Macaca mulatta: one gene and its partners. The protein of the gene in region 1 interacts with the protein of each later gene in a pairwise test. Links are inferred from orthologs where the notes say so. Each region holds a gene or a part of one and is shown in the gene's direction. Other genes may lie near its edges. The genes, in order: CCDC136, ASB7, HMG20B, LENG1, PDLIM5, CDK2AP1 and RAB33A.

Evidence for each region.
Region 2: the proteins of CCDC136 (region 1) and ASB7 interact in binary tests that used the Homo sapiens proteins (3 or more experiments, as listed by UniProt). The two-hybrid records come from large-scale screens. The link is inferred for Macaca mulatta from reciprocal best matches to the Homo sapiens genes CCDC136 and ASB7.
Region 3: the proteins of CCDC136 (region 1) and HMG20B interact in binary tests that used the Homo sapiens proteins (3 or more experiments, as listed by UniProt). The two-hybrid records come from large-scale screens. The link is inferred for Macaca mulatta from reciprocal best matches to the Homo sapiens genes CCDC136 and HMG20B.
Region 4: the proteins of CCDC136 (region 1) and LENG1 interact in binary tests that used the Homo sapiens proteins (3 or more experiments, as listed by UniProt). The two-hybrid records come from large-scale screens. The link is inferred for Macaca mulatta from reciprocal best matches to the Homo sapiens genes CCDC136 and LENG1.
Region 5: the proteins of CCDC136 (region 1) and PDLIM5 interact in binary tests that used the Homo sapiens proteins (3 or more experiments, as listed by UniProt). The two-hybrid records come from large-scale screens. The link is inferred for Macaca mulatta from reciprocal best matches to the Homo sapiens genes CCDC136 and PDLIM5.
Region 6: the proteins of CCDC136 (region 1) and CDK2AP1 interact in binary tests that used the Homo sapiens proteins (3 or more experiments, as listed by UniProt). The two-hybrid records come from large-scale screens. The link is inferred for Macaca mulatta from reciprocal best matches to the Homo sapiens genes CCDC136 and CDK2AP1.
Region 7: the proteins of CCDC136 (region 1) and RAB33A interact in binary tests that used the Homo sapiens proteins (3 or more experiments, as listed by UniProt). The two-hybrid records come from large-scale screens. The link is inferred for Macaca mulatta from reciprocal best matches to the Homo sapiens genes CCDC136 and RAB33A.

Annotation. Positions count from the first base shown.
Region 1 is NC_133408.1:168,439,698-168,443,266, forward strand, and holds part of CCDC136 (coiled-coil domain-containing protein 136), read left to right. Parts: intron 1-95; coding exon 96-207; intron 208-805; coding exon 806-971; intron 972-1,207; coding exon 1,208-1,348; intron 1,349-1,683; coding exon 1,684-1,842; intron 1,843-2,134; coding exon 2,135-2,305; intron 2,306-2,797; coding exon 2,798-2,983; intron 2,984-3,569. UniProt on the Homo sapiens protein: May play a role in acrosome formation in spermatogenesis and in fertilization.
Region 2 is NC_133412.1:90,994,413-90,997,981, forward strand, and holds part of ASB7 (ankyrin repeat and SOCS box protein 7), read left to right. Parts: coding exon 1-585; intron 586-3,569. UniProt on the Homo sapiens protein: Probable substrate-recognition component of a SCF-like ECS (Elongin-Cullin-SOCS-box protein) E3 ubiquitin-protein ligase complex which mediates the ubiquitination and subsequent proteasomal degradation of target proteins.
Region 3 is NC_133424.1:4,383,079-4,387,358, forward strand, and holds the start of HMG20B (SWI/SNF-related matrix-associated actin-dependent regulator of chromatin subfamily E member 1-related), read left to right. Parts: upstream 1-1,472; 5' UTR 1,473-1,562; intron 1,563-1,814; 5' UTR 1,815-1,832; coding exon 1,833-1,870; intron 1,871-2,216; coding exon 2,217-2,325; intron 2,326-2,906; coding exon 2,907-3,110; intron 3,111-4,064; coding exon 4,065-4,185; intron 4,186-4,280. UniProt on the Homo sapiens protein: Required for correct progression through G2 phase of the cell cycle and entry into mitosis. Required for RCOR1/CoREST mediated repression of neuronal specific gene promoters.
Region 4 is NC_133424.1:66,391,224-66,395,536, reverse strand, and holds the start of LENG1 (leukocyte receptor cluster member 1), read left to right. Parts: upstream 1-1,449; 5' UTR 1,450-1,472; coding exon 1,473-1,604; intron 1,605-2,718; coding exon 2,719-2,898; intron 2,899-4,158; coding exon 4,159-4,313. Other genes in the region: voltage-gated chloride channel TMC4, read left to right, coding at 1-67, 164-319, 625-703, 796-864.
Region 5 is NC_133410.1:103,948,701-103,952,269, forward strand, and holds part of PDLIM5 (PDZ and LIM domain protein 5), read left to right. Parts: intron 1-313; coding exon 314-457; intron 458-1,206; coding exon 1,207-1,338; intron 1,339-3,569. UniProt on the Homo sapiens protein: May play an important role in the heart development by scaffolding PKC to the Z-disk region. May play a role in the regulation of cardiomyocyte expansion. Isoforms lacking the LIM domains may negatively modulate the scaffolding activity of isoform 1.
Region 6 is NC_133416.1:130,672,884-130,676,881, reverse strand, and holds the start of CDK2AP1 (cyclin-dependent kinase 2-associated protein 1), read left to right. Parts: upstream 1-1,196; 5' UTR 1,197-1,263; coding exon 1,264-1,372; intron 1,373-2,153; exon of another isoform or gene 2,154-2,307; intron 2,308-3,197; coding exon 3,198-3,292; intron 3,293-3,998. UniProt on the Homo sapiens protein: Inhibitor of cyclin-dependent kinase CDK2. Also acts as a component of the histone deacetylase NuRD complex which participates in the remodeling of chromatin.
Region 7 is NC_133426.1:136,626,477-136,630,494, forward strand, and holds the start of RAB33A (ras-related protein Rab-33A), read left to right. Parts: upstream 1-1,163; 5' UTR 1,164-1,416; coding exon 1,417-1,674; intron 1,675-4,018.

The DNA of each region.
Region 1 (3,569 bases):
TTCTGCTCTCATGTTTCAAAACAGGAAAACTGGGGGCTGGTCATCAGTGCTTTCCTTTCCTCCTGGTCTCATCTCTCTCTGCTTGTCCTCTGCAGAAGAACTGCAGGAGCTGCGGGAACGCTACCATTTCCTGAATGAGGAATACCGGGCCCTGCAGGAGAGCAACAGCAGCCTCACTGGGCAGCTTGCAGATCTGGAGAGTGAGAGGTACAGCTGTCTCTGGAGAGTGAGAGGTCATGGGGTTCCACAGGACTCTGTCTTGCCTTGGGCTTTCCCCTGAAGGCAGATGCCAGGGCAGTGAGCGTTCCTCTGCTCCTGGAGACCCAGTCCTTTCCATGGTTTCCAAAGAATACAGATACCATCTACAAGCAGACATGGGGATCCGACCCAGTTATCTCAAGACTAGAGGGAGTGAGTTCTGAAGTTTACTTTTGCTCTAGGCACTGGGTTCTGGTTTGCTCTGCCCTGAAGTAGATCAGAAGAGATTCGTTTATTGTCCGCATAGACTTGTTTCAGTCTAATGGCAGGCACAATGCTTCCAGATTGGAGTGGGCTTGACTAGGCCTAGCCTGAAAACTAACTGGACTGGCATTCTAAGGGTCTCCCAGAGTCAAACACACCTTTGCAGATTGAGGTGCTGGAGACTTTCCATAGTCTTCTAAGCATGTTTATCTGAGCGGTGAGTCACAATAGAAGGCCCCTTACTATCTTTGGCCTAAAATGAAGGCATCAGGACCAAGCATGCATGGCTGGTGTTGCCAGGCAGAACTCCCTTCAAGCACAGCTCTGGGGTTCTGGATTGCAGGACACAGAGAGCAACAGAGAGATGGCTGGAGTCCCAAACACTAAGTATGACGTCGGCAGAGTCTCAGACTTCGGAAATGGATTTCTTAGAGCCTGATCCTGAAATGCAGCTGTTACGGCAGCAGCTACGGGATGCTGAAGAGCAGATGCATGGCATGAAGAACAAGGTAGGGCACAGAGGGTGGGGAGGGCAGGCACGTTTCTTGTCTTTCTTTCACCTTCTCCCAGCCTGTAGTAGAAACATCTCCACAGGCATGCACTGTGACGGGAGACAGTATTCTGGGGTCTTGCTTGCCTGATGTAAATCTTCCAGTCAAAGAATGCCATACTTTCCCCAAGCTTGTTCTTGGAGCACATGTGGTATCTGTAGTAAACAAGCCTCCCTGTTCCATTTCCTGCATAGTGTCAGGAATTGTGTTGTGAGTTGGAAGAGCTACAGCATCATCGCCAGGTCAGTGAGGAGGAGCAGAGGCGGCTGCAGAGGGAGCTCAAGTGTGCTCAGAATGAGGTGCTTCGGTTTCAGACCTCCCACAGTGTCACTCAGGTAAAGACTGCCCAGGGAGTCATCTGGGGTGGGGGCAGAAGGGCCTCATGGAGGGGCTGCTTCAACCAGGGTGGGCACAGTGAGTATGGCTGTGCTCTGCTGACTCTTGCCCTGCAACTGGGCACAGTCTGCTGGAAACCAACTGTAGAAGTCATATAGCACTGCATTCTAGAAATGGTGGTCATTACTGAGTGTCTGTCTCACAGAAGAAACCAAACCCTAGACCTGTGGGAGCTCCTCAAGATGTCTGCATCTGAAAAGGAACCCAACTGATCCGTAAAAAGATCTGCTGTTTCTCCAGAGTAACTGTTCTACTCACATCCTCCCTACCACAGAATGAGGAGCTGAAGTCCAGACTCTGTACCCTGCAGAAAAAATATGATACTAGCCAGGATGAGCAGAACGAGCTCTTGAAGATGCAGCTGCAACTTCAGGCTGAGCTCCGGCAGCTCAAAGTCATGAAATCCACACTTGTAGAAAAGCAGAGTGAGAAGGTAACAGCAACCAGAGGTGAGGGGACAACTTAGGTGCTAAGGGCATCCTTCTGAGGTTTTGGGAAAGGTGGATCAGAGTAGTGAGTTAAAAATAATTCCAGCAACCACATAGACAGCACCACAGGTAAAGAACTCCAGCCCTGCTCGAGTACTACATTAGATATGAGGACATTAGGAAGTGAAGGGCAGGGAGAAGCAAATCTTAGACTGTCGGTGTCTTCAAGTGACTCACACAGAAGAGTGAGTGGGTTAAGGAGCCCAGAGGCACTGCCCAAAGCCCCCTCTACCATAGGAGTTACTGTGCCGGCTGCAGAAGCTGCAGCTCCAGCACCAGAACGTCACATGTGAGAAGGAAAAGCTGCTGGAACGGCAGCAGCAGCTGCAGGAGGAGCTGCAGTGCCATGAGGCGGAGCTGCAGCACCTCAGGGATACGGTGGCCTCCTTCAAAGAGAGCAGTGAGAAGGTAAAAGAAGCTCCTGGTGAGGGAGGATGTAGCCTCATCTTGTGTGGGGGTGAGAGTGCAGAGGAGGAGAGGGAATGGTAGGAGTGTGGAGGAGCTGGCAGTGAGGGGGCCAAAGAGGTGCTTAGGAGAAAGGTAACCTCAGGGAGTCACAAGGCTCTCATCTTCCTTTGATTTTAAATCAGAAAAGCAGCATATAAAAAGGAAGTCCCTTTCCCTCCCTACCTCCCAAAAAAGGAAGCCCCAGAAGATCTGTGTTTCTTTTTAAATTATTTTTATATTTATTTATTTATTTAACTGGAGAGGCTACACTGGGAAGGTCTGTGTTTCAAGCCTGTCAGGGACGGGTCCATCTTGGGTATATATCCCAGGCTGGGATGAAATTGGGGCTGAGAAGGACAAAGGAAGATGGGTCCCCTTAGTCCCTGCCTGGGAGGAGAGAGTTCAGCAGCAGGAGTGCCTGGGGTGATGGCCAGGCCTGCCTCCCCTGCCCAGAACACAGAGACGCACGCTCAGCTTCAGGAGATGAAGCAGCTGTACCAGGCCAGCAAGGACGAGCTGGAGCGGCAGAAGCACATGTATGACCAGCTGGAGCAGGACCTCCTGCTCTGCCAGCTGGAGTTGAAAGAGCTCAAGGCCTCCCAGCCCAGTCCGGAGGACAAAGGAAAGTGTGCTAACAAGGTAATTGTTGTTCAGAGAGGTGACAGCTCCTGGGCACTGGCTCCAGAGAGAGGAGGTACAGAGGCAAAAGATGAAGGCACCCAATCGAAGGGCTTGATGGGCTTCCTAGGCAGGAAGCAGAGGCAGGGCCACATGCTGCTAACTACAGAACCGTTTGCCCTGACCTTGACTTTGAGCCGGAGCCACAGCTCAGTAGGATCAATACCTTTGGATCCCAGTCTGAACCCCTGAAGGTTTTACACATGATTCCATGTATGTAGACAATGGAATATAGAGTGCTGACTAGGCAAGAGAAGGACCTAGGCTTTTTCAGGATTTATTCTGTGACTTTGAAGTAGTTAAATTCTTTGTTGTTGTTGTTGTTGTTGAAACAGAGTCTCACTCTGTCACCCAGGCTGGCGTGCAGTGACACGATCTCAGCTCACTGCAGCCTCTGCCTCCTGGTTTCAAGCGATTTTCCTGTCTCAGCCTCCCGAGTAGCTGGGACTACAGGCACATGCCACCGCGCCTGGCTAATTTTTGTATTTTTAGTTGAGACGAGGTTTCACCATGTTGGTCAGGCTGGTCTCGAACTCCTGACCTCAGG
Region 2 (3,569 bases), on another chromosome or scaffold:
TAATCGGAGGCTTCACGGCTCTTCATTATGCAGCCATGCATGGCCGGGCCCGTATTGCACGCTTGATGTTAGAATCTGAATACAGGAGCGACATCATTAATGCAAAAAGCAATGACGGCTGGACTCCCCTCCATGTGGCTGCCCACTACGGCAGGGACTCATTTGTCCGGCTTCTCCTGGAGTTCAAGGCTGAGGTTGACCCACTCAGTGATAAAGGTACCACACCGCTTCAGCTCGCCATTATCCGAGAGAGGTCAAGCTGTGTGAAAATCCTCCTGGACCACAATGCCAACATCGACATTCAGAATGGTTTCCTGTTGCGATACGCCGTGATCAAAAGCAATCACTCTTATTGCCGAATGTTCCTTCAGAGAGGGGCAGACACAAACTTGGGTCGCTTAGAAGACGGACAGACTCCTTTACACTTATCTGCCCTTAGGGATGATGTGCTCTGTGCACGGATGTTATATAATTATGGAGCAGACACGAACACACGGAACTATGAAGGACAGACCCCATTGGCTGTTTCAATAAGTATTTCTGGAAGTAGTCGACCATGTTTGGATTTCTTACAAGAAGTCACAAGTATGTAATATAATTATTACTTTATTGCATTTTAAAAAAATTTGCATCTTCTGAGGAGCTTAATGTGTTTTTGCAACTTAAGATGACTAGATATTAATCATTCCTATAACCACTGCTTGGTAAGCGATGCCTCATTCTTCTGAAATAAAAAAATAACTTTGAATCACAAGATTTCATAAAAATTCAATTGTGTTTCTAAATGTAATAGGGGTAGACAGTAAGAGTGAGGGAAGGAATGGAGAGAAGGACAGAGAGGAGAATTTCTTTAAATAAACAAAGATCTGTGTTAGAACAAGGCAATTCCTGTTGGTCATAAGGATAATCTTACCTGGCTTCCATGGACTTCAAGTTGAGGAGTTAGAGGGAGAATTTTGGATTTTAGATTCCTTAGCTGTGAAAATATCCTAGAATTTGTGCTTTATTGCTAAGTTGTTCACGTTTTAGTTGTGGCTTTTCTGCTTCATGAGAACCCACATGAAATGGAACAGTGGTACTGTTTATTTAGGGATACTGCTAGTGGAAGTTAAGGATGCTAGAAATTGTTGTAAGAAAATATTTGCTAGCAGTGGGAAGTTTGGCACCACTGTCCCTGGACCACATGGCTTCCATTGTATTTGAACAATTTTTGTGTGGGTGCTTTTTTTAAAGCCTTGAAGTGTCTGACCCACTTTCTGTAGTAATACATGCATCCTAGTTGTTTCTGTGATGGGGTATCAGTTTGTGTGGACTTAGCCATCCTCTCTTGTCAAGCTTCCACGTGACCAGTTGATTGTGTGTCTCATGCTTAATGTCCAACATGAAGCTGAAATCTGTAAACAAAATTGATTTTGCTGTCTGCTGAACTTTTTAATGAATTCCTTTTTCCTCACTGGTTTTGAACCTTTGATCATGATGATAGAAGAAGACATATTAATATCCTGGGTACCAGCTTCTAGAGGACAAAGGCTTTACTTGACTTGCTTGTAAATAACCCACTCTACCCCTTAGAACCGACCTTTGGAGTACAAACTTGCTTTATGAAGAAACAAAATGTAACTTGAATTTCGCAGATTCATGGAAGAAAAGATGAAATTATTATCACTAATGTATTCAGACTAAAGCATAAGAAGAAATCACACTACTTTGTCTACTCAGTGCTGGCTAGTACCAGTTTCTGTAATGTTGGAAATGGTCTCTCATTACTGTCCAGTATAGTAGCCACTGGTCCCATGTGGCTGTTGAGCACCTATTAATGTGACCATTGCCACTGAGGAATTGAAATTTTATTTAATTGCGATTTAAGTTTAAATGGCCACAAGTGCCTGGTGACTCCTTTGTTGGTCCACACAGATCTGCCTGCCTTGGGAGGGGTATTTGGGGCTGACTGGTGGGCGTTCCATTGCAGAAAGCTTCTGAGACACACACAAGTAGCCAAAGACGGGAGATGTGATATCTGCAGTGCTGCAGTTCCTGGTTGCCTTGTTGTTGTTGTTCTTTTAACTTCTATATTAGAGACTTAGTTATCATGAGTGTGGCTCCCCTTAGGAAGGCGTGTTATATACTCACCTAAATGCCTCAGCCCCCTTTTTTTAAAATACTTTGTTCAGCGGTTAATGGCATAGACTAGAGCTAGACTGCAAGAGTTTGAGCCCTAACTCTATCACATGTTAGCTGTGACCTTGAGCAGATCACCTAATCTCTCTGTGCCTTAGTGTCCTCACCTTCAAATTAAGATAATATAGGCTTGTTATGAGAATTAAATGAGTTAATATTTATAATGCACTTAACATTTAACACGTTCCAGGCGCTGTTCTTTGTCATTGTTTTTCAAGATAAAGTGTGTAACTAATAAAGTGAGGGTGGATTAACAGCGAGGACTGGCTTGCTACCAACAGAGCAAAATCTTTAGATTCATATTCAACTCAAGCCTCCCAGTTTCAACCGTATATACAACTGTTTAGAGTCTGTACGTGGAGCCACGCAGCCAGGTGGCTGAAAGGAGCCGCTGGGCAGGAAAAGCATGTGGGCAGCCGCCCTGTGTCCCTGAGCCCTTAGAGCTGCCCGCAGCAGTGCTGTTGCACAGCAGGAATGTTGAGTTAAAGGCTCACATGCACTTTAAAATTTGAGCAGATAGAAACATCAGTGGGGACTGCCTCTGTCTGTGCTTAGGTTCTCCACTGCACGAGGAGCAGAGCTGTGCACCTAGGAGGTCCTCAGTAAGTCCAGGCAGTCTGGCTAACTCTGTACAACGAGGGGTGGGGACTGAGGAAGCACAGACTGCTTTCCTGAGTGCAGGGCCCTCTGTCTGTTAAGGCTGCAGTTGTCCTTTGTCTTCAGGTGCCTCAACATAATTTAGTATTTCTTGACTCTCCAGTGATGTTTCCTGCCAAAAGCAAATTGGTGTTTCTGCTTCACCTGTGTGTTCTTTGGGTCTAAATAGCTTTTCTTTTCCTAGTGAACAATGTGGGCCAGAAGGAGCAACTGTGGCTGATGCTCTGGACTGAGCTTTCTTATGAAAAGCAGCTCGAAAGAAGGTTGGTTAGTTTAGGGAGCACTAAATCAAAGCTGAGAGCTTCTTCTAGCCCGTGTGCTCTAAGCACTGCAGCCCCGGGCATCATGCTGTTGGCTTATGATTGGAGATCGCAGACTGCCGAGGCATAAGGACAGCAGAGGGGCCACATGGTGGTCTTCATTCAGGGACATTTTACTCTTCATCACACTGTTTTGACTAAAAACAAGATTATTTACATTGGAAGAGACCAAAAAAATTATAATACCGGAATTTAAAAACTACTCTGGCCTTTTGGAAAAATTGCCATAAAAACTCTAATATATAGTGCAAACAAAAACAAAAACAAAACAGAGTGCACTCGTGGCTTGGTAATAAAGTAGCATCTGCTGGTGACTTGTTGATGCTGAGTAGGGGGAGAGGCCAGGAAGAGCTGCTGTTGCTGTTCCCTTCAGCCAGCCCGCTGTCTAGCATTCAGACCTCAGAACCTCCCCCT
Region 3 (4,280 bases), on another chromosome or scaffold:
TTTCACTTTTTGGCTATTATGAATCACGCTGTTATGGGCACTTGTGTACACGCTTTTGTTTGAACACCTGTTTTCAGTTGTCTGGAGTATATTCCTAGGAGTGAACTGCTGAATTGCATGGTGATTCCACATTTATTTAACCCTTTGAGGAAATGCCAGTCTGTTTTCCAAAGCAGCTGACTGCATCTGCCTCCTAGACATTTGAACAATTCAATGAATGTGTATTGAACACCCACCACGGTCACTGCTGTGAACCAAACAGGCAGGCCACAGAGAGGAAACCGACTTACGGAGAAAAAAAAAAAAAAAATCAGAGGCGAGGTCCTGGCTGAGCAGGTGACATTTGAGCGGACTTGAGGAAGAGGAAGGGGGCTGGGCGCGGTGGCTCACACCTGTAATCCCAGCACTTTGGGAGGCCGAGGCAGGTGGATCACGAGGTCAGGAGTTTAAGACCAGCCTGGCCAAGATGGTGAAACCCTGTCTCTACTAAAAATACAAAAATTAGCCAGGCGTAGTGGCAGGCGTGTGTAATCCCAGCTACTCGGGAGGTTGAGGCAGAGAATTGCTTGAACCCGGGAGGCAGAGGTTGCAGTGTGCCGAGATCGAGCCACTGCACTCCAGCCTGGGCGACGGAGCAAGACTCCGTCTCAAAAAAAAAAAAAAAAAAAGAGGAAGTGAGCAGCCCCCAACTTGGGTCTGATCCCCCAGAGCGGAGCATCCTGACCCAACTTCACCAGGTCCTTGCAACCTCCCTTTACCACCATCTTTCCCCAAATACTTCCAGCCCAGCTCCCAACCCCACCCCCTGACTGACCCACACCCCGTTCTCAGCTTCGCAGCATCCCAGCCTCTATGCCCTGGACATCGTGCGATGTCCCCATTGCACAGGAGGGAAAGCCCAGATCCCACTGGGAAAGCCGCCCCTGTGGCCAGAAGCCCTCGGATCCGGATGTCGGGGGTTCTGAATAAATAAATAGGAAACGTCTCCGATGGGTTTTGCAGGATGTTAAGAACAGGTCCCACCTTGTCCTAGGGCTGGGGGCTGCCTCACAGGAACTTAACCCTAGCACCTCCGTCCCCATGGCAACCGGGGCGTGGCCCGACCCGGATCCGCGGGTCGCGCCATCCGGCAGCTGCTGGGAGTATCGCCCTCAGAGCGGGAGGAGGAGTCGGCGCCTCACCTACTGGCCCTTTAAGAGGCTCCGCCCGGCAAGTCCGCCACGCGCTCCCGATTGGTCCCGAGCGCGGCCGAGCGCAGCCGAACTTGACGCACCGCCCGCCGCCTTCCTTACTAACCTCCCACGCGGCTCAGCAGCCTCCCCAGCCAATCGCCGGCCGGCGCGCCGATCGGTATCTGCATGGGCACGCCCCGGGGGAAGGCCTCACCCAATGGGACCGTTCGCCGAGGCCTCATTAGCATGCCGGGGGCGGGGAGGGGCGGGGCAGTCGGCGGGGGTGGGCTGCGGGCGGTTGGTTGGAGCGTCGCGCAGTCGGGAGGTCCGGGAAAGTTTCTTTGGAGGTGAAAACAGCCGCGGAACTCCGGGCCTTGCGAGGGGGCGGGGGTGCGGGGGTCCCAGGGCCGGGTCGGGGTCTTTCCTGGGCCGGGGGGAACCGGCCCAGGCCTCCCGGGGGGCAATCGCCCAACAAAGGATTCTTGGGGCGCCCGCCCTCGAGGACTTCCCCGCCCCCGGATCCGGCCCCCCCAGCGCTCCGGGCCCGGCATCCCGGGGCTCTCCATCACGGGATACCCCAGTTCGCGGTCCGCCATCAATCAGCCCAGGCGCTACTCAACTCCGCCCGCGTCCGTGTTCCAGGTCCGGCCCGGAGCAGCCATGTCCCACGGCCCCAAGCAGCCCGGCACGGCCGCCGCGTGAGTGCTCCGATTCCCTCCCCACGCCCTCGCTACCTTCCCGGCTGCAGCCCTAGCTCCTGAACCCCCGCTCCAGTCACCCCGGCCGGGGTCTCGACCGCCCCCAACCTGGGTCAGGGGGCTTCTCCCTCCATCCAATCCTGCATACCCCACCTCGGCCTCCAGCCCCTCCCAGGAGCCCCGCTTGTCCCACCTTCCGCGGATACTGACCCCATCAGACCCTGCTTCCTCGGGCTCATGCACTCTCGCAGCAGCCCCATCGTCGGGCGTCTAAAAGCCTTGGGGTAGGCGTTTGGGGGAGGGGAGGCTCTAGGGACGGGGCTGACCTCTGTATCCTTGGCTCCAGGCCGGCGGGCGGCAAGGCTCCGGGCCAGCATGGGGGCTTCGTGGTGGCTGTCAAGCAAGAGCGCGGCGAGGGTCCACGCGCCGGCGAGAAGGGGTCCCACGAGGAGGAGGTGAGAGTCCCTGCGCTGAGCTGGGGGAGGCCCCGGGCTGCGGCCCCAGCCTTGAAGTCCCGCCCCAGGCTGGATTTGAATTGCTTGTGGCTCCGCCCACAGCCCAGATTTTCCTCCGGAAGCTGAGACCCCGCCCCGTGCGAGCTGCCACGCCCCTGACAGGTCCTCTGCCTCCCTAAGTCCAGGCCCCGCCCACCACACAATGCCAGCTCTGCCCACTCTAAGGTCCCGCCCACTTCCACTCCTTGGGGGCGGCACCCTCCCCATGGTCCTGTGGGCCCTTTCTCCAAGAAGCCACGCCCACCAAGCAGAGGCCACGCCTACAATCTAAGTAAACACCACCCCTGTGCTCAAACCTCGGCCCATAGTCTCTGGGATCCCCTCATCCCTGGCCAGGGACCCCTCTAAACCACCGTGTCCTGACTCCTGACTGGGCCCTACCTCCATCTCTTCCGGGTTCTTCCTCCCAACTAGGCCCCGCCCCGTCCCCGCCCATACAGCATTAGGCCCCGCCCATGCCCCTCTGAGCCCCGCCCCAGTACGCCAGGCCCCCCTCCCAACGACGCAGCCCGGTTCTGCAGCCGGTGAAGAAACGCGGCTGGCCCAAGGGCAAGAAGCGGAAGAAGATTCTGCCGAATGGGCCCAAGGCACCGGTCACAGGCTACGTGCGCTTCCTGAACGAGCGGCGCGAGCAGATCCGCACGCGCCACCCGGATCTGCCCTTTCCCGAGATCACCAAGATGTTGGGCGCCGAGTGGAGCAAGCTGCAGCCAACGGAGAAGCAGGTGAGCGGGGCGCTGAGCAGGGCCGGCGGACCCCCGTACTACCAGTAGCCCCGACCCCCAAAGGATTCCACGTGCAGGGCTTTTCCTTATGCCTGGTGAAATGCCCACCCATGACCAGTTTTTGTGTGTGTGTGTGTGTGTGTGTGTGTGTGAGATGGAGTCTTGCTCTGTTGCCCAGGCTGGAGTGCAGTGTCGCGATCTCGGCTCACTGCAACCTCCACCTCCCGGGTTCAAGCAGTTCTCCTGTCTCAGCCTCCCAAGTAGCTGGGATTACAGGCGCCAGCCACCACGCCCTGCTAACTTTTGTATTTTTAGTAGAAATGGAGTTTCGCCATGTTGGCCAGGCTGGTCTTGAACTCTTGACCTCAAATGATCTGCCCACCTCAGTCTCCCAAAGTACTGATATTACAGGCATTAGCCACCATGGCCAGCCCATGACCAGCTTTTGGGGGCGCGGCTAGCAAGAGGCAAGACAGATCGAAAACTGGGTGACCAACAAAGATATGTCTAAGAAGTCAGGATAAGGCCTGGATTTTTTGTGAAATCTGATTTTCATATACTGTTAGTTTAAAAATTGCAAAAACATCACGGAAATGTAACAAAAGCCACCGCCGCTTTGCACCCCTGTAAGTGAAATTTCAAAGAGAAAAACGGGTGCAGGAGGGAGTCTAGATATCCACATACCCTGGAGGTTGGGTGCCTGCCCATGACTCTGGCGCCCAGGAGTGTCTTGTCAGGGCGGGAGTTGGGGATGAGCCTGGGGCATGGGAAGTGATGTGGGAGCTCAGAGGTCCTTGAGCAACAGGCTGAGGAGCCGGTTCTGTCTGTCTGGAGGGAATAGGGAACTATGGAAGGTTCAGGAGAGGGGAGGGTGCTGTGAAAGCTGAGTGATGAAGACTGGGTCCTGGCGTTAGAGGCTTCCCCTGCCTCAGGTCTTTTGGTGCTGTCCCCCAGCGGTACCTGGATGAGGCCGAGAGAGAGAAGCAGCAGTACATGAAGGAGCTGCGGGCCTACCAGCAGTCGGAAGCCTATAAGATGTGCACGGAGAAGATCCAGGAGAAGAAGATCAAGAAAGGTGGGAGGGGTCAGGCGCGGTGGCTCACGCCTGTAATCCCAGCACTTTGGGAGGCCGAGGTGGGTGGATCATCTGAGGTCAGGAGTTCAAGACCA
Region 4 (4,313 bases), on another chromosome or scaffold:
TTTTCCCCTTGGTTCTTCTCCTGGGTCTGGCCATCTCCAGCGTTCCCCTGCTTTACAGCATCTTCCTGTAAGTGCGAGAGGTTCCCGCCTCTCTCCCTCCCTCTCCCCCCATTCAGTGTTCAGACTCCTGGCTCTACTTGAACCCAGCCTGTCTTGACTTCAGGATCCCGCCTTCTAAGCCGTGTGGTCCATTCCGGGGGCAGTCGTCCATCTGGGCCCAGATCCCTGAGTCTATTTCCAGCCTCCCTGAGACCACCCAGAACTTCCTCTTCTTCCTGGGGACCCAGGCTTTTGCTGCGCCCCTTCTGCTGATCTCCAGGTGAGGTGGACCAGACTTCTGGGTCTGGGTTTGAATGCGTGTGATCTGGGGGCCACCACCTGCGTCCAAGAGAGGAAAGGCTTGGGGGTGGGAGCAGGCAATGTACTGAGTCTGAGGGAGGAGGCCTAGGCTCCTGGACTGCTGGGTCCGAAGGAGGAGGTGGGCGGGACTTAGGACTCCTGGATCTGAACGCGGAGGTGCTGGGAGACTGAACTCCTTGAGCCTGGACGAGGAGGGACTTAGGGGTCCACATCCCTGACTTCGAAGAGCGTGTCAGGAGTGGCTTCCGTTCCTGTCTCCTCCAGCATCCTGATGGCGTACACTGTGGCTCGGGCTAACTCCTACGGACGCCTCATCTCTGAGCTCAAACGTCAGAGGGAGACGGTGAGCCAGGCGGGTCCCTGAGAGGGCCCCCGGGGAACACGGAGAGGGGCTGGGGAAGAGGGCTGTCACACCTCCACCTCTCTTTGCCGCAGGAGGCGCAGAATAAAGTCTTCCTGGCACGGCGCGCTGTGGCGCTGACCTCCACCGAACCGGCTCTTTGACCCCCGCAGCTCACGCCCCACTTTCAGACCCCAGGCCCATTGTAAGCCTAGGTCACAACATCTGTAAACTAGGAGAACTGGAGAAGACTCCACGCCCTTCCAGCTTTGATATCTGGAGATTTCCAGGGCCCCTCGCCGCCACGTCCCTGACTCTCGGGTGATCTTTCTTGTATCAATAAATACAGCCGAGGTTGCTGAGCGCGCTTTGAAATCTGCGTCCTGAAGGTGGGGGCAGGGCTACCGCAGGGCAGGAGCCAATCAAATGTATGGGCATGTTTGTCGGTGCGGAGCGCACTTCCGCAAGGAGACTTGACGGTCATGTCGACCAATCGACGGCCGCATGTGGTAGCATCGGGGCGGGCCAACTTATGATTGGTTCAGATCTGTGATAAGAGGCGGTTGCTAGGGGATACCACGAGCCGAACGCCTAACATTCGCTGTGAAAAGGACGTCTCAGCCAATCACCTGTCGTTACAGGCCAGGGGGCCGTACCAACTAATTCGGAACCAATCTGCGGTCGAAGTAGGGACAAGAGGAAGGGGGGCATCCTCTCGCCAATCGGAAGTGCAAAGAGGCGGGCGTGCCAGTCCCTGGACAGCTACGACGCCATGAATATCTTGCCCAAGAAGAGCTGGCACGTCCGGAATAAGGACAATGTCGCCCGCGTGCGGCGTGACGAGGCCCAGGCCCGGGAGGAGGAGAAGGAGCGTGAGCGGAGGGCGCTGCTGGCTCAGCAAGAGGTAAGCTCGGAGGCCGGCCGGGCTGACCGCCGGAGCCCAGCGCGCACGCGCCGCGGTTGGGGGCCGGAAGCGGAGGCGTTGCGCAGGCTCAGTGTGCCCCGTGTGAAATTCGGGACCAGGCGCCGATCCCGTTTTCGAGGACGTTGCTCTGCAAACCTTGTGGCCACTTCCACGAAACCTCCCTTGATCTCGCCTTCGTCTTAGTTTCCCCCCACTGATGTATTTCACATGGCTGGAACAGTGTCTAGCACAAAAGAGCAGCTTAAAAACATTTAATGAATACATGAGCGCTTGGACAGTTCAAGGAAATTCGGATCACGTTTTAGTTTGCCTGCGCAGTTTATTTATTGAGCACCTATTGTATGCTAACTACATGCAGAGCGCCTGACTTGCGGAATCCCCAGGAGGCACTGTTCGTTCTTAGAGGGGCACTGTCATCTCCGTTGCACGGAGTGAGATGGCTTCAGTGAGGGGAAGGCACATTTAAGGAGAGGGGGACAGCCAGGCTCCACGCCATCGGGCGAGCCCTTTCCTGCACCGCCCCCTAGACACATACACACAAACACGGGCTTTCTGTATGGCTCCTTAAATCTGTTTGGTGTACACCCAACTTTCAGTTCCTTAGCTAGTCTGATCCTCCACAGTGGGTGGGAGGTAGTCTGGGTTTTTAGAATCTCAGTAGGCTGCTGAGCGCTGTTTGAAATCTGCGTCCCGAAGGCGGGGGACAGGGCTTCAGCAGTCGACTTGGGGTAGTGACTTGGAGCCATGGCTAGAATTCAGATCGTCTGGCCTAATGCAGTTTGGTCTACCTTTATGGCTGTTTTAATTGTCTCACTTGAGGTTAGGAACCCCTTTGGTTTAGGCCAGGGACCTCCTTCCAGCCATCCTTGATGACCCGTGGTTTACGATTTGAAAGGCAGTTTACAAAACCCAGGCGTTGCCTCATCTGCCTACCCTCACCCGCAGCTAGGACAGGTGCCTCTTTTAGGCGTCTAGTGCTCCCTTTCTTATAACCCCAGCACCCTGGACTGCCATTTTCTGTGGTGGGCACCAGACTCACAGTTCTTGAATCACCTCTAGGTTCTGAATGCCCTGCCTATAACTTTCTCCCCAGGCCCGTACAGAATTCCTACGAAAGAAAGCCAGACATCAGAACTCACTGCCTGAGCTTGAAGCAGCAGAGGCGGGAGCCCCAAGTTCTGGCCCTGTGGACCTGTTTCGGGAGCTGCTGGAGGAAGGGAAAGGAGTGATCAGAGGCAATAAAGAGTACGAGGAAGAAAAGCGACAGGAGAAAGTAAGCTGGCCTCACCCACTTCATTAGAGGAGCCATGAATCGAGTTGGGGGGAGAGGGCACTTTAGCCACTGCTTGTGATCAAGGTCAAACGAGAACGAACACACAGAATTTAGAACCATACCAAAGCATGACACTTAAGAAGTGTTGCCATCTGGGCACCCACAGGGCTTGGAGGTAGATGCTAGAGGTCCCCAGCTGCTAGGCAAACTGCTCAGTTCTCAAAACTGGAGGGGTCTGAAACCTTGATAGGCTTTTAAAAATGTAAATCAGCCAGCTGTGGCTCATGCCTGTAATCCCAGCACTTTGGGAGGCTGAGGCGGGTGGATCACCTGAGGTCAGGAGTTCAAGACCAGCCTGGTCAACATGGTATCTCTAAAAATACAAAAAAATAAGCCAAGTGTGGTGGTGCACGCCTGTAATCCAGCTACTTGGAGGCTGAAGCAGGAGAATCGCTTGACCTGGGAGGTGGAAGTTGCAGTGAGCTGAGATTGCGCCACTGCACTCCAGCCCAGGTGACAGAGCGAGACCCCATCTCAAAAAAAAAAAGAGAAAAAAAAAAAAAGGCGAATCATTCGCCTCTTGCCTTTTGGCTAAGATCAAGTGTAAAAAGTATGTCTGGTCGTGCATGGTGGCTCACACCTGTAATCCCAGCACATTGGGAGGCCAAGGTGGATGGATCACCTGAGGTCAGGAGTTCAAGACCAGCCTGGCCAAACATGGCAAAACCCCGTCTGTACTAAAAATACAAAAATTAGCCGGGCATGGTGGTGCGTGCCTGTAATCCCAGCTACTAGGGGGGCTGAGGCAGGAGGATTGCTTGAACCTGGGAGGCAGAGGTTGCAGTGAGCCGAGATGGTGCCACTACACTCGAGCCTGGGCAACAGAGCGAGACTGCATCTCAAAAAAAAACAGGTACATGAGCTCTTGTCACTCACCTGCTGTCTCTGGACTTGCTGACCCCACCCATGGCTCCTCTGCTTTGCTTGATCCCTTCAGGCTTCTCTTCAAGTCTCTCTGCAAAGATGCCTGCCTCTGAACACTCAAGTGGCTCCACTTGTCCCCTCCTTCCCCTGCTGTTACCTGCCACTGTCCCCCCACGGGGAACTTGGCCTCTGTTGGTGTCTTCCATCCCCAGCACCTGGTACAACTGGTTCATGACAAGCCTTAGGTACCTGTTTGCTTAGATTCCTATGTCAGGGAGACACACCTGACACCTTGAAAGATTATATCCCATCTCTTGTATTTCCTGGCCCCCTCAGGAGAGGCAAGAGAAAGCTCTGGGCATCCTGACGTACCTGGGCCAGAGTGCAGCGGAGGCACAGACTCAACCCCCTTGGTACCAGCTACCCCCAGAGCGAGGGGGGCCCCCTCCTGGCCCAGCCCCAGATGAGAAGATCAAGAGCCGTCTGGACCC
Region 5 (3,569 bases), on another chromosome or scaffold:
TTGGCAAGTCAGTCTTCAAATGTGTGATACAAGGTAATTTTAAATAGGAATACAGTTAGTGAACTTAAATACATTCAAAAGTATTTGTATGTCAAAATCAGCTTTATGGAGGATTATACATCAGCTTTTATCTTCTGAGAGAAATCATAGCAGCAGTAACTAAATGACCTGAACTCCTATTACACTTCTGACACTTCACACTTTTATAATGCCTAGATATTAATATGGAATGGTTACTCTCTTGTATTTATTATGCTACCCTTTCTCACTTTCCTTTTTGTTCCTCTCCTGTTTTTCTTTCCCTACCTGTCAGTTTAAGCAGCTCCACAGGAAATGTGGAAGATTCTTTTGAAGGTTTTCGAAACTTTTCTACCTTCTCTTCTCCTGCTAGATACAGTGCTGCAGTTCTGAGCAGTGCAGCTGCTACTGTGTCTGCTGTTATTGCTGCAAAAACCAGGTAGAACTACACGTGCAGCGTCTGTCTGATGCAATCTCAGCGCTCTTCATTGTCTTACAATTCACCTCAAAGAAAACATATCTGTTTGAAGCAATCATAGCTCTATTGTGAGCTCTTAATTGTGTAGTGGATATTTTAGGTTGTGGATGAATCTCACAGTATTTGTTACTGTTTATTTCTTAAAAATCACCTTTTAATCTCTCCATTGCTGCTATTTATGGATGGTATTTCTCAGTTGCGTGGATTATTACATGTTGTGTGCTTATTGGCACTTGGATTTTTACGATTTTCAGGTTTTATATTTGAAACAATAAAGTATTAATGAGTATTTTAAGTTTCTATTGATTTTATCTTCTCCCACGACCTTTAAAGGGTGATCTGAAGACTACTGTCCCCTAAAAAAATAAAATTGCATCCTTTCCCAAAAAGAAATAAATTGGTTTTATTTTCGTGGTTTGGGGGTTTTAGATAATTTCTATAGTCTTTAGAGCTTCAAATGCTTTCTAAATGATGGCTGTGACCATTTTGGTGAAAATCTAATCAATGTTATATTAATGAGTAAAGCGATAGAATAAACTCTTGGTGCTTCTTTTATCCTCCTTTGCTGCTTTGTGCTTCCCCTCCGTCCTCCTCTCTCTCCCCACCCTCTTTCTCATAAAGGAAATGTTTCAAATCACAGACCTTAAAAACTACTGTCGTCTATTGGTAGTGCGATTTTTGACTTAAAACTCTTTCTAAATGCTTACCAGGCTCTACACTCCTGAAAGATATCACTCGCTCTTGGATGCACTTTGCATCAGTCCTGTCTCCAAGCCTTTAGCTTTTTCCTATCTGCAGTCCTCAAGGAAATCAACTGGCTCTATCCATGTTAAGAAAACAAGGTACTGTGGGAGCAGATATGGCAAGTGGTGGTTTGCTGTTAAGGATACTGCTTTCTCTAACACATCACCACTGTATTAACAGGCCGGGTGACAACATCCTAGAGCTCTAGGGATTTGCGCCCAATTTTGAATTAACTGTAATGTCAATGCCATGCTAATGCACAAGCACAGTATGTCCTATGATTATTAACTCACCTTTTAACCTTTTGTGACATCTTTCCTTAGCATACTTGATGTTTGGTGTGCAATTCCACGTAATTGTACAAGTATTTAAATTGCAGTAGAATTTCTGTCTTTTATTGCATAGATATAGCTGTATTAGAATCTTCAAATGTTTAGTAAGACATACCTTTTGGAAAAATGAAAAATAATAATGATCAATTTTGATTGACTACATATTCTAGTTCTTAAATATGAAGGTTTTGCTTGGAAAAGCAACTTAATTTCCACTATTTGGGAAATGCTAAACACCAAAATAGATTTTTCTATTAAGCTTAAGGATTAAGCCAGAAATTTTTAGGCATAATATAAAAATAAAAATATCACAAGTGTTTACTAAAGATATAAACTCAGTGAAATAACTGTATACAATGATTTTTGACAGAACATAAAATCAGTGGCAAAGTATACAACATACTTAGTGAAAACCTGATATAACTAGGCTATATAACTGATATAACTGATATTGATTAGATGTTTGTATTCTAACCACTGTTATAGAGATTTTTCAATATATTTACCTGGGCCAGGTGCAGTGGCTCATACCTGTAATCCCAGCACTTTGGGAGGCCGAGGCGGACGGATCACGAGGTCAGGAGTTCGAGACCAGCCTGGCCAACATGGTGAAACCCTGTCTCTACTAAAGATACAAAAAATTAGCTGGGTGTGGAGGTGGGTGCCTGTAATCCCAGCTACTCGGAGACTGAGGCAGGAGAATCACTTGAACGCAGGAGGCAGAGGTTGCAGTGAACCGAAATCGTGCCATTGCACTCCAGCCTGGGCGACAGGGCAAGACTCTGTCTCAAAACAACAACAAAATATACATATGTTTATTCTGGGTAACTTTTAAGGGAGGTGTTTAAACAAGGGAGAAAGATGATAGTACATTTTTCTCTAAGACAGCACCTGAAATTATATATTTGCAGAATTGTAAGTGTTCAGGGAGCAGAAGTCTTTCATTGTCAGGGCTGAGATTGTACAGAGGCAGGTTACTGACGTTGCTTAGAGTACGCTTTGAGTACTTGAGTACACTTATACCACATTTTTAGAACCTGGTAAAAGCTATAGATCCTCTCTCCAGAAAAGTACCTGTGTGCATATACATGCAAAAGTGTGCATGCATTTATGGACTGACTGTGCTATCTGTGGCCCCACCTCTAGAGCAAGTATTAGTAGTCATCACCATTGCTTATTAACAGTAGGACACAGACAAAATATAGTTTGATATTGAGAGAGGGAAATGGTTTCTAAAAAGATAGTCTAGTTGGCATTCTGGGGTTTCCTGAGGAGACCCTTGCTAACTTAGTGAGAGGGGTACCCAAAAGACCAGATACATTTTATCTTGTATGAGAGTAATCATAAAATGTGTCAGAGACATTTTATCTTGATTTTTACTTTTGTGTGATAGTAATCTTTAAAAGTGTAAATATAGTATAATACCAAATTTATTTTTTCCATTAAAATATATTTTTCCATTAAAATATATTTCCATTATAATATATGTTAGTACATCATATTTTAAATTTTGGTTTACAAACTCTAAGTTAAAGAATTTTGCTTAGGAAAATATTAAAAATTTTCTTCTAAATATGGAATTCTGGAAGGAAGGACACTCGTTACTCTCTCTACATGTCCAGGTCCTTTAAAGGAGTCCTGACAGAGGAATTCTATAAAATAAACAATTGCTCGTAACTAAGGCCTTTCCAGAAATACTCCTTTCCTGCCATTTCAGAATCTGTATATTAGTATACCATTTTTTGGTAAGACTTTAGCCAAAAACTGTTTAACTTAAACATCGATAATTAAACCTGTGATGTACAGTTGTCTTCTTTAAAATGTAAACATGTAATTAGAATAAGTTACTCTCAAAAGTATTCTTCAAGCAGAGTTTTTCTTTTGAAAATAGACTTAAAATTCCCAAGTGTTCTTAATCTGTATCTGAGCTTTATTTGTTGTAATAGTTAAACAAATGTGGGAAAGGAATGTAAACTCAAGATAAATCAGGTTGCTGA
Region 6 (3,998 bases), on another chromosome or scaffold:
GTCACCGGTGCCACGCTGGCTCTCCTGCTCGAGTTTTGGGCCTTGTTTGCAAACGTTGACTTCATAAACCTCCCACATCCGAAGTAGGACCCATAAAAACGATATTTAAAAAAACCTTGGACACTGAGGTGTAGGGGCAGGAAAGGGTTAATCGTCAGGGTGCTGAGGGAGAGTTGAATTGCTCACTTGTGGGCTCGGAGTCCCAAAGAGCAAACAGCCACTGTTTTCTTCTCAAACATTCTCACCTCCTCTGGGGTCCGCAGACCTTACAAAGACGGGCTTTGTTGCCAGGTAGGACTGCCAGCAGCGTTCTTCCTCTGGCCTGTGGGGAGGGCAGGGGCTGGTGTTGCCAGCCTGGGCAAGGCTGACAGCTCAGGCTTGACCTGGTGTCATTGGGGCCGGGGCCTTAAACTGGGACCTTCAGGGTTTGGGGTCACAGGGATAGCGGCACTCACGGGGACCCCTGAAGTCCTGTTCTGAGCTGGCTGCACCTGTATTCAGCTTTTCTTCTCTTTCTTCTGTGGAGAATTTCAGGAGTGCCGAGATCCCCAGATCTGGGCTTTTTGGTGCCCCTCCCTCTCCCCCATGGACCCTTTTGCAGAACCCCAGCTCCCCTCCTGCCATTTGCATCCAAGATGGACTCTCCGCTGCTGCCGCTGCTCCTCCGGCTTCCTTGTCATCATCCCTCACGCCCTGCAGCCCTGCCTCCTGCTCACGGGTTGCCAAGCCGCGGCCTGGCCGGTGGTGGCAGTGGCGGAGTTAGACAAAGCCCCCGCCTCCCCCGCCCCAGAGCCCCCCAGGCGCCCCAAGTGGCGGGAAGGCCGCCAGCTCCCCAGGCCCCGGCGCTCTTTGTCTGGCGTGGGGGCGGGGAGCCGCGCCTGGCCCCAGGAGCTTCCTGGCCTCTGCCAACCCCTCGCTCCTGCACACTGCGCTCATTGTCTGAGATGCGCCGAGACGGCCTGCGCTGACGTGGTCCCTGTGTCCCGGTCCCTGTGTCTGCAGGAAGGAGTGACCATGAGTGGAACTCGGGGCATTTCCGCCATCTCTCTCCAGGACTAGACACCCCCCACTCAACCCTGAACAAGGGACTGGCCTGGACAGAGCATTGGAGTCACCGAGCTATTGCTCCTTGTCCCCCCAGCCAAAATGGGACAATTTCTCATTCCTCCTTCCTCTCAGCCCCGCAAAACCTAACCCCAGTATCATCAAATAGTAGGGTCTGGAGCCTGTAGACCTTCTCTTGGGAAGCACTGCCTCTAACAAATGGAGAAACTGAGGACTGGAGGGCGGGGGGCCTGTCTGAGGTCACACAGCCAGGAGTGGCACAGCTGGGGCTGGCGCCAAGTCCAGTGGGGAGGACAGAAAAGGAGAGGTGAGGAGCAGTGGGCAAAGCAGTTGGGGAAGAGGACGGGGGCACACCGAGTTGATTCGAGGGTGCGTGGGAAGTGGCTAGCGCCCCTCCTGCCAGGCTGCTGGGATCTTGCAAACACCCAGGGTGCTGTGCTCTATGGTCCCTCCCAGAGACTGGCCCTCGAGGCCAGAGAGGTGTAGCTACCAGGATCGAAACCCAGGTCTCTGCCAGCAGAGCCTGTGTTCCCCATGCCACGCTTGCTGCCACATCAGAAGCTCAGGAAACTGGGGTTTGGCTGATGTGGTGAGGGGGCGCTGGGGGACATCGCCCTGCCCAATTCCTGCAGTGGCCGTGGACGTGCCGGATATCGCGGGCGTAGTGCTTCCCCATCCCAAGCCGCCCATCCCTGTAGCACACGTGTCTCGTCATCCCCATGTGGGAGGCATGGAAACTGAGGCTCGGAGTGGCATGGTGCTTTGCCCAGTTCAGGATCCAAGTCCACGTTTCCAGGTCCAGCCCAAGCTGGAGCATAACCCTGGGCTGCAGTGGTGGCATCCAGGGCTGGCCTGAGACTCAGGGAGACAACTCGGGACTGTCCCCGCTCCCGGATGCTCCTGGACAGAGGGGCAGGTGCTGAGGTAGCTGGCTCCCTGCATGGAGGGGCAGGTGCTATGCTGTGTGCCCTGGGGCAACTCCCTCAGGTCCATGTCTCTAAATAGAGGGGCCTGGAGCCAGGGTTCTCCAGGGCTCCTCCCGGCTCCCCCAGCCTGAGGCCCTGAACTTCCTTCCTCCTCTGCCCCTCCCCTCACCCACACCAAGTGAGCAGCTGGTGGGTTTGGCCAGCCTGGCACCAGCTGTCCATCCCCGAGGCCAAGTCTGCAGCGCCCGCTGTGTGTGTGAGAGAGAGACCGTGTGGCTCTGGGGGCGGCAGGCGGGCAGCTGCCGAGGAGGACTAGGTAAATTCTCCATGGTTACCGCTGTTTGTCATTCTGCAGGATATCCTTTACCCGCTAATGGCCACTGGGACGCCATTGCGGGGCCGCGTGCTCCCAGCCTCAGACTCCCCTCCCAGATCCAGGAGGCTGCGTTCTGGGCTGGGCCCTGCTTGGTCACTGACTGCAGCCCTGGACAGGCCCCAATGTTGCATCCCATATGTGGGGCCTCAACCCTCCTCTCTTGGAATGCAGAGCCGTTGGGACATAGACTGCCAAGAGTCTGGTCCCCCTTTGGGGAGGGGGAGACAGGCACAGAGAGGTTGAGGGGCTTTATCTGGGGCACACAGAGGCCGTGGTGTTCTCTAGATTCCTAATTTGATGTCCAGCATGCCTGTCTCCAGCCAGGGTTGGGTCTCAAATACTCTAAGGCCTTCCCATCTTCCCCGTCATTGAGCACAGCAGAGATTTCGGTGCATAGGACAAAAAGGCTTGGAAGCTCCGCTGGTTTGGACCAGCCTCCATGGCAGTGGGCTCTTGTGGTATGATGTGGCCTCTAGGTTTTCATCCTCTGGGGCCAGGACACAGGGAGAGGGGATGGGCAGGGATGAGGCCAGGAGTGGCAGTAATTTTATCTTTGGGAGCAGCCCTGCTGCTTGGAAGGTTCTGGTTGGACAGGACGGAGCTCTGTGAGGACCAGCAGCTGCTACAGAGCTGGGGATGGCCGAGTGCCTTGTAGCTACATTTCATTATCCGTCTTCTACACTGGTCAGACTAGAGGTGGAGAGCAGGGTTCTCTATCCTGCTACAGTTGGTGGTGTGGGTCCTGGGCAAGGGCCATTGCAGGACCTGGAGTCCTTGCCTTGGTACAACTGGCTGAGCTGACTCCTGGCCTCTCTCTCCCCACCCCACAGCTGGGAGTGTCCACTCTCCTTCCACCAGCATGGCGTCTTCACAGTACCGCCAGCTGCTCAGTGACTACGGGCCACCATCCCTAGGCTACACCCAGGTATGGCAATGGGGGTGATGGCATGGTGGGAGGGCTGGGGGGAGACATGCTCCCCACCATCAGAGGAGAGAAGCTGGTGGAAGAGACGAAGGAGCAGAAAGTATGGGACAGAGCTTTCTCAGCCCAAGGCCCTGACTGGGCTCCGGCTCAGAACACATCAGAATGGAGGGCACTGGGGACTGTGTTTCGCAGGGACGTGTGAGGTGGAGCGGACAGGAGAGCACCAGGAAGGGGCAGCAGCCCGAGCTGCGCTGCGGCCCCCACCCCACGCGCTCCTCTGGTGGGTCTCCTCACTTCTCTTTCCTGGGCAAGTGAGGCCTGGCCTTGACCCTGGCTCTCCAAGCTGGGACAGAAAACGGCCGGTTCCCACTTGCTCTCCACGGGCGTGGGCCCAGCAGAGAGGAGGTGGCCTTGTCTCGAGAGCCAAGGTGCCTCTTGTTGAGGGCCAGTGTTTGAGAGTGTGGCCCAGGCGAGGCCGCTGCCTGGTTCCACCACTTTCCAGACTGTGACCCCCACTTGGTAACTGCCCAAGACCTGGGCTCCTCATCAGCCCAAGGGTGATCCTAGTACCCCCAGCCCAGGCTGGGGAACAGCAGGAATGGGGTAGCCACCATGTCAGCTGCACCCCACATCTCCAAGGGATGAGCTGCCCTGTCGAAGGTCCCAGCGGGAAGATGCTCTCCCTGGCTGGGCCCCAGTGCCAGTG
Region 7 (4,018 bases), on another chromosome or scaffold:
ATATTGTAAGGAGATTGTGTTCATTTATCATCTTCCAAGCATAATCTAGGCTTCTGGCAAATTAGACTCAACCACTTTGTTCTACATTCAGCTGCAGGGGGAGTGAACCCTCCTAGGGATTCCCAACTCCCTCTGAAACTCCACCCTTCTGGAAGGACTTACGGTTATATGGAGGGCTTGGGAGTGGAAGGCACTGTGGAGCTTATGCCATGTCCCAAGATCCTCCACCTGGGCCAGTAATGGCTAGCCCCATAAACAAAGTCCCCTTTTGCTGGAACTGCCACCACTAGCTTCCCCCCTTCTCCTAGCCTCTGTGTGGCCCTCTCCCGCGGCGAGCCTTCCCCATTGGCCAGCCAAACACAACCGACTGCGGCAGCCAATAGGAGCCGCTCTCCTGAACATTCAGAGGATGGGTGCTCGTGGTGTGATGAGGGGATGTTGGCGCCTGGTACGCGCCCCCCTACATCTGGCAAGTCTGTGACAGAAACAGTAACACCCCCTACACACGCACACGCGCGCCCGCTGGCTCCCTCCTCTCAACTGTGCAGGCCCGGGACAACCCACTGCGTGTCTTGGCAGCGCCCGCTCAGGCTGCCTGGGGCCCGTGAGTGCACCTGCTCACTCAATAAGACAGAACATCCCTTTATCCCAAGGCGCGGGTCGGGTAGAGGGTGGGGGTAGAGGGGACGGGGTAGCGGGGACCGGGAAGGCGCGGCTCAGCTGCCGGCTGCTCCCGAAGTGAAAGAGGTGCCTTAGCCCCCACCCCATCCCTGCAGAGTTGCGTTGCTCCAGGGAGGCCGAAGTGATCCAGTGATGCCTTAGGGTGCAGCTCTTTGTCCTCCCCAGCTGTGCTCCCTGCCCGCTGATCCCGTGCGCTCCGAGCCAGTGGGGGTGGGGAGCCCGAAACTTATAACATAAATGGGGGCAAGGAGAAAGAAGTCTATCCCGGGGTGGCGTGTGCTGCTGTCCCCACCCCCTCCCTTTCCTCCTGAGGCTTCTTCCCTCCGGTCGGTCTCGGGGGTGCAGGCAGGGGAGAGTGTGGGCCGAGGCGCGGCGGCGGCTGGAGCAGCGCCGTAGGGTCCTTCGCCAGAGCATCCGGTCCGAGGGCGCACACAGGCAGAAGGCTCGCTGCTCGTCCACTCTCCTCCCTCTCTCCTCCTCTCCCTGGCTTTTGTGTTGGTGCCTCCGAGCTGCAAGGAGGGTGCGCTGGAGGAGGAGGAGGGGGGCCCGGAATGAGAGGCACCCTCTTCACGCGCGCGCGCACACGGTGCCGGCGCACGCACACACGGGCGGACACACACACACGCGCGCACACACACGCGCACAGAGCTCGCTCGCCTCGAGCGCACGAACGTGGACGTTCTCTTTGTGTGGAGCCCTCGAGGGGGGTTGGGGCCCCGGTTCGGTCCGGGGGAGATGGCGCAGCCCATCCTGGGCCATGGGAGCCTGGAGCCCGCCTCGGCCGCTGGCCTGGCGTCCCTGGAGCTTGACTCGTCGCTGGACCAGTACGTGCAGATTCGCATCTTCAAAATCATCGTGATTGGGGACTCCAACGTGGGCAAGACCTGCCTAACCTTCCGCTTCTGCGGGGGTACCTTCCCAGACAAGACTGAAGCCACCATCGGCGTGGACTTCAGGGAGAAGACCGTGGAAATCGAGGGCGAGAAGATCAAGGTGATCCCGGGGGTCAGGTCCAGGAAGGGAGGGACCTGGGAGGGGACCTCGCCCGAGGCATAGCTGTAGCGGTTGTCATCGTCCAGCGTCCCAGCGCGTGGCGGTTTCGCCTCTTGCTGAGCCGAGGACCCTCGGCCCCTCCTCACCCCTTTTCACCTCTCTCAGCGGGGTCCCGTCCCCATATCACTCAGTTTTTTGGGGCGGTCGAGAATGGTTGCATTCTTACCCTTTGCTCCTGCCTGACAGGTCCTGCCAGGAAAAGCATGTTGGATCCCATCCTTGACCCCTAGCCCGAGCAGCGGCACCTGTGGGCAGAGGGAGGCAGGAGGCATCTCTGGGTCCTAGTCTGTGGGATGGATCCCAAAGCACTTTACACATCCTGATGTCTCTTCTACCGCTTGGGTGCCGATAGGCTGCAAAACCCCACTTCAGCTAAGCCTCAAGTCATTAGAGGGAAGGAAAGGATGGAAATCCATGGAGAATGAAAAAGCTGCTTTATTTTAAATTGCAGTTTATAGTTAAGATTAGGGCTGAGTTGAGATGGGGGTGGAGTGAGGTGGTTCTGGCAGAAAGCCATGAGCCCTTTTAAAGAAATTGAGGCAGGGTCACCAGCCAGCCCTTTGTAATCAACAAAACTTGTTTTTTATTGTAACAGGCCCCCTGGAATGGTATTTTCTTTACTTGTCTGGGGTATCTAATACATGAACTGCTCCTTATTCATTCTGTTGGTATTGTCTTCAGAAGGTCTTTGTAAAAATGCAGTGACTTAACCGAGGGCCAGGGAAATGCTCAATCCTCCCCCTCCATGAGTTTATGTAATAGGCTAAGTGCAAATATTCTTGTCTGACCATTTGTGCTCACCTTTAATTCAGAAAAGGTAGAAACCTGATATGACACGAATATGTCAATGTGCAGGGCATGGAGGGAGGGAGGACATAACAAGGGCAACTTCCTGTGTCAGGGGAGCAGAGGGGGGCCTCTATAAAGGCAATGGAATCACTGAAGACAACTCCTCTAGGCTCACAGCTGGCCTTTCCTTGAGCGTATGGTTGGATCCTAGACAGAGTCAGGGGTAACAGTAAGCCTCCTTCTTGCTGGTCAAACGGCCAAAGTGACCACAAGGCCCCTCCTCTGAGTGACGTGGAGAGAAGGGCTGAGTAACTGATGAAACACTTGAAACTGTGCAAGACTCTGACTCCTTGATTATTAAAATGAACATGTTCTAAAAATGGCTTCAGAAACTGGGCCAACGCACTAGATGTCAGGAAGATGGACAGCTCAGTACTGATAAGGGAGAGCCCCAGGGTCAGGAAGATAGAACATTATTTTGAAATTGTGATCTTTTTTGCCCCTTGCATTTTGAAGGGGAATTGCTACATTTCCTTTTAAAGTCAAAGGCAGCATCTTGTCTTTGTCCTTTCCTGGGGCTGTTGACATTTGCTTGGTTAAGACTTCCTCTAGTGTGTCTGGCTTCTTTAATGTAAGGCTATACGATTCTAGAATTTCTAAAACATGCCTTTGTAATCCAAAGTAGAAATATCTTTACGGATGGGCTCTTAAACCCTCAAAAACCTAATGCTCTCATTTGCTTAAAATCAAGTGTTACAGTAAGCCAAAGAGTTCCCTGGATTTAAAAGGTGGGAAATAAGCCCATCTGAAATTTAAATGGAAAAAAATGAAGTGTTTGGGAATCTAAAGAAGGAGGGAGGAGGAAGCTAGAAAGTGAGGGATGGGAGATGAACACGAGTGGAAGAGTCACCACCCAGTGGTCTCGGAGGAATTTTTAAACCATTCCTTCTCTTCTGACACCCCAGTACTTAGCCAAACTGGACTTTACAGTCTCTGGCAAAGATTCCAGACTTTTTCCCAGAGGGCAGAGCCTGTGACAGTGTGACTCACTAGAAACAGAACTCAGCACAACACCACGTGCAGATAAGTGCTTAATACAGGCTTTTTTTGGGAAGATGATATTTTCAAGAGGACAAAGCCTTGTGACACTGCTCATGGAGGAGTCCTCTGAGGGCAGATTCTGAAGGAGCTCAGAGCAGCGTGTGAGAGTGGGGAGATGGTGACCCTGCTTCTTGTAAAGCTGCTGCAGTCTCAGGACCAGAGCTGGCAGGCGAGAGACCAGCATGTCTGTGGGAAGATGGCAGGGCCTGGCAGCTAGCACGTGATCTAGATAGGAGAAGATTTGGCCTCACACTCTGGCTAGCCTGAAGTTGTTCAAGGAATACATGCCAAAGCCATGCTTGGAGATGACTGCCAAGGGCTTTGCCCTTTGGGAGAGAGAGAAAAGTCCGGTGTGACAGTCCGAGGTCTGGCCTAGACCATGGCCAGCAATAGA